2 linked regions of the Caenorhabditis elegans genome follow. The protein of the gene in region 2 interacts with the protein of the main gene of each other region in a pairwise test. Each region holds a gene or a part of one and is shown on either strand. Other genes may lie near its edges. The genes, in order: snrp-40.1 and sqst-1.

The links.
Region 1: the proteins of sqst-1 (region 2) and snrp-40.1 interact in a two-hybrid assay, tested with the Caenorhabditis elegans proteins (one large-scale study listed by BioGRID).

Annotation. Positions count from the first base shown.
Region 1 is NC_003284.9:11,297,516-11,301,899, reverse strand, and holds snrp-40.1 (U5 small nuclear ribonucleoprotein 40 kDa protein), read left to right. Parts: upstream 1-2,115; 5' UTR 2,116-2,299; coding exon 2,300-2,315; intron 2,316-2,365; coding exon 2,366-2,433; intron 2,434-2,482; coding exon 2,483-2,581; intron 2,582-2,764; coding exon 2,765-3,521; intron 3,522-3,592; coding exon 3,593-3,648; 3' UTR 3,649-3,864; downstream 3,865-4,384. Other genes in the region: F08G12.3 (RasGEF domain protein), read right to left, coding at 1-67, 113-339, 387-737, 991-1,176, 1,224-1,596.
Region 2 is NC_003282.8:12,032,626-12,037,670, forward strand, and holds sqst-1 (ZZ-type domain-containing protein), read left to right. Parts: upstream 1-1,656; coding exon 1,657-1,825; intron 1,826-2,134; coding exon 2,135-3,939; intron 3,940-3,987; coding exon 3,988-4,095; 3' UTR 4,096-4,266; downstream 4,267-5,045.

The sequences.
Region 1 (4,384 bases), on a different chromosome or scaffold from region 2:
AGTTTGGATACTTTCTCTGTTGTCCCTCGAAGACATCCAGAATATCCTCCAAATAACAGAGCCCATTCTGAGAGTAACAATGAGTAACGAACACAATTCATTTGAAACTCACTGGATTGTATTTTTTCTTGTTGGCCGTTTTGAAATGTTTCTTGAAATCGTATTGATGTTCAGAGAGAAGCTCCATTTCTGCGACGACATGTGGGGTTCGATTTGTTGCGTATAAAAAGACAGCTAACTTTGGGAAAACCATCTCAAAGATTTGATTTTCCTTTGCATCCCATGGAAGTGGTTTTCTTGCTGCCCCAAAGAAACCACTGAGCTCTCGAAGTCCAATATCTGCAAAAAAAGTATTGACGCTTTTATAAACTTGAACTCAATCTCACTTGAAATTTTGCGAACGAATTCGTGAAGTAAACTTTTCTTCTCAACATAGGTATGAATATGCTCTGCAACAGCTTTTCTGTCTTCCCAGGATCTGATGGCATTGGCTGCGTTCATAACTGACATCGAAGTTTCGCCGAAGATGTTTGTGTATAAGGTAGGTGATTTTGTTTGAGAGAACCGTTCATTAATCTTCCTATATTGGGTGAAGCTTTTTTTCTCCTTAATCTTTCCTGGTGAGCTGAGTGTTGATGGTCCAAGCCCATTGTGAACATTATAATTGAGGGTTTGCATTGCACCTTCAGGTTTCGGGAAAGTGTACATCAGTTGAGCAAGCTGATTATTTGGAACTGCTGAATTGAAATTCTACGTAAACCTCCATATTTTGTAGTTTTGTTGCTTAATTAGCTGACTTTTACATAAATATAGCTTCAAAGTTTTCATTGTTAACAAAAATAAAAATGGCACTAAACAACCAAATTTCATATTCAGCTAGATACGCTAACGTTGACAATTTGTTTGCTAGAAAATACTTAATTTATATTTTTTGAAAGTTAAAATTTTGATGTACAACTCAGCACGTAAAAATTGTAAACTCAAACCCACCATTGAGTAAAGACGATCCAAAGATTCGTGCAGCCAAAAGCAATATAGTTTTAGTTTGCTGGAACTGTAGATATTCTTGAAGAACAGCATGGATTTTCTGATACTCTTGTTGGATTGACGTTAGACCCACTTGGCGCTCGCCAAAATTCATGAGACCGAACAAGCGTGAAAAGTCATCAACGTTTGCTGAAATTATTGTTACATTATTTTATTGGTGTTAACAATTGACTTACTTAATTCATGCAGAAGAACAGTGGAACGTTGTTGCAAAGTCTCAACGGCTTTTGGTCGGTCGTGTAACCACTCCATTTTTTCCTGCATTGAGAATTGATTAATGTGATTGAGTATACAAGTGGATATGTGCTCCAAAGGTTGGATATTTCTGTGATACTCAATCGCTCCGTCTATTTCCTCATTTCGTGTTCTTATATTTTCGTCATAGTAGGCCGGGCTGCTTGTATGGTTTGGTTGAACTGATTGATCATGTTGTTGGGTAACAAATTGGTTTTGTTGATTCGTAACAATTCGCTGAGTTATTTGATAAAGATTCAGCCTGTTCAACGCTTGCTGCGCCTGGAGCAATTGCTCTTGATCACTTTGCAACATCAGTGCCGCAATGAATTGATTGAGAAATATATTCTGAGTATCTGAAAACATATGAATTTATATGTAAAACAATCAAAACGAAAAAGCAACAATGAGAAACGGAAAAAAACTCTAAACTGATATAATGTACAAAAGATTCAGCATGGGAGGAAAGAAAAGTGGAGATGGCTTGGAGAGTTGGCAGGTTGCCAGGGGAACCTTTTTTGGCAAGCCTGATGCGTACGTAGCCTCAAGCGTTTTTTCGCCTTGATAACGTCTAAAGGTAACTGATAGCGGACAGAATCCAATGTTTATCTCCATGTCGTCTCCACTCTCCGTGTGAACCACGCTCTTCTGCCTAGTTGGCAAAAATTTGTTTTTTTTTCTGTAATGTGCACTCTTTCTCGTGGCCTCCACAAATTTCCATGCGGTCGTTGGTTGCCACACAGCAGCTCTTCTCACTCTTCTTTGTTTCTTTTTACTTTCCTTCTTTCCTATGCTCTCTTCTCAGCGCCGGCAGACATTGAGAGGAGACCCGACCTGCTGCCAGGGAGGGAGGACGAACGGCAAGTGTGCGCACTAGAAAATGTAAACGCGCTCCACCGCATTGCATTTACAACTCGTCTCCGCGTTTCTCACACTGCATCGTCATTGTCTATTCGAAAACGTCTTCCAGTGTTCAAATTTGTTTTTCCAGTGGAACCCAACATTTACCAACACAACGATGGCTCTTGTTACTTGTAAGTTTATTTTATAATTTTGTGTAATTTATTTTTATAAAACATTTCAGCTTCGGGACAGCAACTGGTCAGCTCTGGATTTCCACAGCAAACTGCGCAGAGATTCTCCAATTTGATGGTAAATATTAAACATTTATCAAACAACAAACAGAAATCTATATTTTCAGGCACCAACAATGGTTTTGCTAGGTCATGAAGGAGAAATTTACACCGGTGCATTCAGCCCAGATGGAACATGCTTAGCGACTAGTGGATACGACCAGAAAGTGAGTTTTTTTCAAATCCTTGTGGTCTCAAGAATTTATATTCAAATATTAAATTCTATGATTTAATTATTAATTGGTCTTTGCAAATAAGAACAATTGAACGTAGAACTTTGTATAGTCTTGAAAAAACCGAATATAAAACTACCTTCATACTAAACAACCCTTTTAAGCAATGATTTGCAGATCTTCTTCTGGAATGTATACGGCGAATGCGAGAACTTTTCTACAATCAAAGGACACTCAGGAGCAGTTATGGATTTAAAATTCACCACCGACAGCAGCAGTTTGGTCTCTTGTGGAACAGACAAAAGTGTTCGTGTCTGGGATATGGAAACCGGGACTTGCGCTCGTCGCTTCAGAACTCACACAGACTTTGTGAACGCCGTCCATCCGTCTCGTCGTGGTGTAACTCTTGTCGCTTCTGCCAGTGACGATGGAACATGTCGTGTGCATGATATGAGAACCAAGGAACCAGTGAAGACTTACACCAACCGATACCAGCAGACAGCAGTTACATTCAATGATTCTTCGGATCAAGTGATTAGTGGTGGAATTGACAACGTGCTCAAAGTTTGGGACATGCGTCGTGACGAGATTACTTACACTCTGACTGGACATCGTGACACAATTACTGGAATCTCTTTGTCACCAAGTGGGAAATTCATCATTTCCAATTCAATGGATTGCACTGTTCGACAATGGGATATTCGACCATTCGTACCAGGACAACGTTCGGTGGGAGTTTTTGCTGGTCATAATCACAATTTCGAGAAGAACCTTCTCAAATGTTCTTGGTCGCCATGTGAGAGATTCATCACTGCTGGCTCGTCGGATCGTTTTCTCTACGTCTGGGAAACACTGTCGAAAAAAATTGTGTACAAGCTTCCAGGTCACATGGGAAGTGTCAACTGTACCGATTTCCACCCAAAGGAACCTATCAGTGAGTTAAAAATAAATTACAAAAATTTAAAATTTCCATTGTTTGACCATTCAATAATTTCAATTTTTCAGTGCTCTCGTGTGGAAGTGACAAACGTGTTTTCTTGGGAGAAATCGATATGAGCTAGAAATTCAAAACATCCATATTCGCCGGTTAAATTTGTTTTTTGTCATTTTTCTGTTTTGTTTTTTTCACTGGATCTCCTTTTTTGATGTAATTTTTGAACTTACTTTATGTCCGACTCTCTTTATTTATTTTTCAGTGATCATGTTTTATCAAATGAATTCTTGCAATTCAAAATTGAAGTACGCCAGAAAAATTGTTTTAATGGAAATACGAAAGAAGATGAAGGCGGTAACAGCGAAAGATGAAGGTCAATATTTAATCAATTTACCGCAATTGCTCTAGAGTAAACAATTGGATGGATAATTATCAATGCGTGAAGAAGTATCAATTCGCATTCCGAGTTACTGGCAATTGTTTAATTCTCAAGTTCTCCTTTTTTCTTTCTTTTTTGTCAAATGGCAAAACAAGTTTAAGCATATTTTCCTTTTTTTAAGTGTTATAGTTGAGTCGTATCAAAATGATCGTTCCCTGAGTACTGTCATACTGAGTCGAGGGGCCGTATGCAAGCTTTTCAGTCTTTTACAATTTAAAAAAAGCATAGAATATGATTGAAACAAAAATCTAAGAAACCGCGCTCCATGCTTGCAAACGGTGTCGAGATAAAATTAGCAGTATCCACGGAGCAGTTATTTTGGCGCGACCGTGTATGATTTCAATCGAGTTTAATACTTGGATTATTAATACAGACCAAACTAAACTATTCCATGATGGGATGTCTGTGCACAGTTTTTTATTGA
Region 2 (5,045 bases):
TTGGGCCCTATGCAGAGGGACAATCAATCGGCCTAGAGGAGGCTGGTCATGTGTTTATGCATAGAAATATCGAGAAAGAATGCGAGACACAGAGATGAAGAGGCATCATTCGGCCTCATTTTGCCCATAGCAACACTTACACTCGTAGGCTCGGTAGTGGAATGTTCCAGATGAATACTCTTGCTTTGACACGATATTTAAGTAGGAAATTCCTTTTCTAAAATCTAAAACTAGCAATTTCTTGCGGTTGTGTAACCGAATCAAATATTCGAAAATTAGCAAAATTTCGCAATGAATATTCTCGTTTTTTGGCAAACCGTTTCTTTTTTGTCATTTTGACTATTACACAGTCTCCTCCAGTGGAAATCGGTCCGTTGGCGCACTTCTCGTGCATCGCGTGGAAAATTGAGAAATTACCAAAACTTTCAATTTACTGTTTTTCTTTATATTTTTCATAACATAAGCTTGGGTGGAAGATTACTTTTCAAATAAACATCAATTTCTACTAGAAAAATGATGATAAATATACAAAATATGAGAAAAACTCAATTTTTAGTTGTTTTTACTTTTTATATCAGCGCTTTTATTTTTGAACCAAAATCAAAAAACTTTTTTCTCCACCTTTCCCCGAATTAGCTTTACAATTGATACCTAATTTCAAAGTATGAAATCGATTTTAAACCCACAAAAACCGAAGGAAATCATTTTTCAGTGGTAAAATTTTGCAACGCTCACGAGAAACGCGCAAGCCCCCTTGTTGGGTCATTTCCACGTGAGGAGGCTGTGTATTATCCTTTCTGATTTTTTCCGTCAAAAATACGGTACCCGGTCTCAACACGCTTTTTTGTTGTAAAATACAAGCAAGTATGCGCCTTTAAAGAGTACTGTAATTTCAAACGTTTTTTGCTGCTTAATTGTTTTCCTTAACAATTTATTTGTTTATTTAAAGACTAAAAATTGAAATTTAAAAGCACAGAATTGTTTTAGAAAAAAGTTTTAGAATACAGTACCGGTTGGAATTTGAAAAAAATTGTCGTGTCGAGACCGGGTACCGTAGTTTTGGCGCAAAAATCACAACATTTCGCGTATGGATAATATTTAATTGCATTTTTACATAACTTTCTTGTAGGCCCAACAGTACCTACTTGCCTGCCTACAGGCAACTCTCTACTGCTACTAAATTTTTGACGCCTTCACGAAATTAGTCACTTATGATAATGAAAGTTTATATTTTAGTTCTAGAGAATCTGTTCAACTAGATCCTAACAAAAATAGTCTCCAAGAAATTTAGATGAATGATAATAAAAACTTGTTGGAAGTGATCTACTAGATCTAGATACCACCTTGAACTTTGAAGCCTTGAGTGTTTTTCTTTTCATATCTCCGTTCTTGCCCCCTTTGTTCATCTCGTAAACATCTTTAAAGGTTCCAAAAATAGTACATTTCCTTTTTGTTGTTGCATTATTCTCCAAAAAAATGAATTATGGTTTCAATTTCTTACACAATACAATCATTATGATGATTATTCGAAGTATAATATTTCGAAATTTCCTTTTTTCGATTTCGCAACTCTCGCAACTCAATAATGTCAATACTTGTTCTATTATCTTTCACTCTCTTTTCACTCACTTTCAAATAACTTCTCATTTTACTCAGATGGCTGCTGCATCATCCGCTCCTCACCAAATGCAAGTTCGTGTGACTTTCTATACAAGTCACAATCCGCAATCGGTTCTCATGATTTTGAAGAACGATCAGGCTCTTCAACAGATCTCCGAGAAGGCAAGAGAACTGTTCCCATCGGCTGATTATCGTCTCTACTACGGTAAGATATTATACTTTTGTTTTTGCCCCGTTTGCTAGACGAATCAATTGTGCAAATAGAGTATTTGTATGCCACACCTATGTTATGACAAAAAAGTACGGTGCCCGGTCTCGGCACGATTGAAATTTTTAATGGACGTTCCGAGGAAGAGTGTGCGCCTTTAAACAAACCATTTTTTTAAATTTAAAGTTTAACTAGATTTAAAAGGTCGTTATTTTTGTAAAACTCAATTTAATTAGATTATATTTAAGATTTCTAATTTCCCTAGATATCTCACAGTAACTTTTTTCCAAATCTTCAAATTTTCAGGTGATGTCAACGGACCAATCTTTGAGTTCACCAATTCGGATCAGATTATGTCTAAGATTCGAATCACTACATTCTCTCGAACTCCTCAACTTTTTGTTCGCCTGGAAACTGTTCCCCTTCGTCCAACAGCCCTACCATCAGTGAGCACTGAAACTGCCAAAAAAGCTTCCGATGCTGATCGTGAATCAAAGAGCAGATCCTCGCTGAAGCGTATCGAGAACAACCAGGAGCTCACATTGAAGACGCTGGAGAAGTTGCAAAAGGAGCTCTCAAGAGTTAGCGCTTTGGAGACGATGGTTGCTGATCTTCATGCAAAGGAAAGAGAACCTGTTGTCGAGGAAGTTCAGAAGCCATTCCCTCCAGTGAAGCACTCGGCGTCTTGTGATGCTTGCCTCGGTGACATCATCGGACATAGGTTCAAGTGTCTCGAATGTGCCGATTATGATTTGTGCGAGAAGTGTGAGAGAAAATCTTTACATTATGAGCATGCAATGATCAGAATTGTGGAGCCAAAGAAAACAATGATCCCATCATATGTGACATCAAACTCTCCGAACAATGTCTTCCCAACTTACATGCAGCACAAGATCCAACAACCACAAACTATCAAGGGGATCAACAAGACTGTTATCACGAGACTCGTTCCTTCACATCAAGTTAATCCAGCTCCAATGCCTCAAGCTCCACCAGTCTCCACTCCAGTTCCATTCCCTCCATCTCCAACCATCGGAAATGGAGCAGTTCCAAAACCAGCCCAGGAGCCTCGGATCCCACCATCTCCAACTTCTGCTCTACCACCACCACAATTCTTCAATGAGGAGACCCGTGCAGCCATTATTAATAGTGCAGCGTTGCTCAAGGAAACTTTCAGTACTTTGAGCAGAAGCTTCTTGGATTTGGCAGATGGTGCACAGGCCAATATGGATAAAAAGATCATTGAACGCTCGACCATGGAAGCAGGAATGACCAAATTCGAAGAGAAAATGGATAATTTGAAAAGACACTGTGAGGAGAAATATCTTGGAACGGAAACTGCTGAAGCTGAGAAGAGCGAGGAATCTTCGAAGAAGCAAGCAGATAGCTTGTCTGGACCAAAGATCAAGAAGGCTAAGAAGAAGTCCTGCTACAAGAAATCTGCCGAGAGACTATTCACAATGCAACTTGCTGCGGCGGCTGCTGAGCAAGCCCGTCTTGAACAAGAAGCCAAGAAAAGAGCTGAAGCCAGCTCTGCTGAATTACAGAGGAAACTTGCTGAGCTTAATGTGAAGGAATCTCAATCAAAATCCGAGGAAAACATTGCTGACTTTGTCCTATACGATCTTTACGGAAACTCCTTGGAAGCTTTGTTGAGAGGTCGTTCGAGCTCTAGAATCGCCGATCCTCCGACCACTCCAAATACCGAACCAGCCACCACAGAGTTAGCTTCAACGACCTCTGCAACTCCAGCCGTCACTGCTCCAGCATCAATTGTTCCAGTTACTCCAACTGCACCAATTGTTGAAACTCTGATCGTTCCACCACTTCCACCAGTGGAATCAAATCCAGAAGAGGTTACACCAATGGTGACTGCACCAATCTCAATTCACTCTTCTTTCGAGAACATTTCTTCGGATTTCGAGAGCCTCAGTCCATCATGGGGAGGATACCCAGATTTGGAAGCTGCACAACGTCTAGAAGTCATCGATGATAACTTACTCGACTTCTCTGATGTTGCTGTTGAAGCCCAGGAAGCTCAAGAAGCTCAAGAAGAAGCTCGCCCAGAGCCAGAGCAATCTCTACCACCATTTAATGAGGAAACTGAAAAGGTAAATCTAAATGTCGTCCATGAATCCCCTAATCTAACGAATTTTCAGACATTCGATCGTCTCCTTGAGATGGGATTCTCCTACAACGTCACTGTTGCTGCAATCAGAGCAAATGGATCGAATCTCGAGATGTGTCTTCAGGCGCTTCTTCACTAATTTGTACATCCTGTATCGTGTCGCCCAACCAACTCTCTCCTAGATACTATTAGTCATTTTCATCATTCCAATGGAAAGCTGTATCTATTTTTTCTCGTCTTGAACCTGAAAATGTTGCTTTTGCGTAAATTGCTTTTTTAATAATCTGAAATTAATAAAGTTGTGGCGAAAAATTATTGTCAGCTGGTTTATTTCAAGTATGGTGTTGCTTTCTGAAACTTGGAGGCTGAATTTTTCTTACATCTGTAGAATTTTATCACATTTCGAATAATTTCAGATAATTTTTTAAAAAACCTTTTCCAAAACAAACTATGAAAAATAAACTTCAAAACATCAACTAGTTCTATTCTCAGGTTGAATATCATTCATTACCAAAAGAGTTAAAGCGTTTTCCAGAAAAAGTTTCGATAATTTTCCAAAAGCCAATTCGAATATTTTCAGCAAGTCGCCGCGTACATTTAGAAGCATCTATCATCTTTGGCATATGGAAGCGAACAGCTTTGAGCAATACGTTTTTTCAGTACAGTTACAAAATCCCATTTTTCTCATCGTTGCATCGAAGATTTTTTCAAAAATTTATATAGCAATAAATAACAATATGTGTACATTTTGAAAATACTTTTACTTTAGATGGAAAGTTTCGAAAATTTGCTCAAAAACCGGCTCAAATATCAAAGTGCAAATCGGCGCATGCCACATTTCGATTTTTAGGCAGTTTTTCAGTAACTTTTTGAAATTTTCGATCCAAAGTGAAATCATTTTCAGAGAGTACAAGCATTTCTCTATATGTCTATATAAAGTTCCAGAAAGTAATTTTGACACAACATGGAGAAAAGTACAATTCGGGAAATGTGCCAAAAAAATGATCGCACACATCTGCTGGCTTCCATATTTCAAAGATGACATATGCTATCAAAACAAAATAAAGTAATAATGATTGTATAAACATT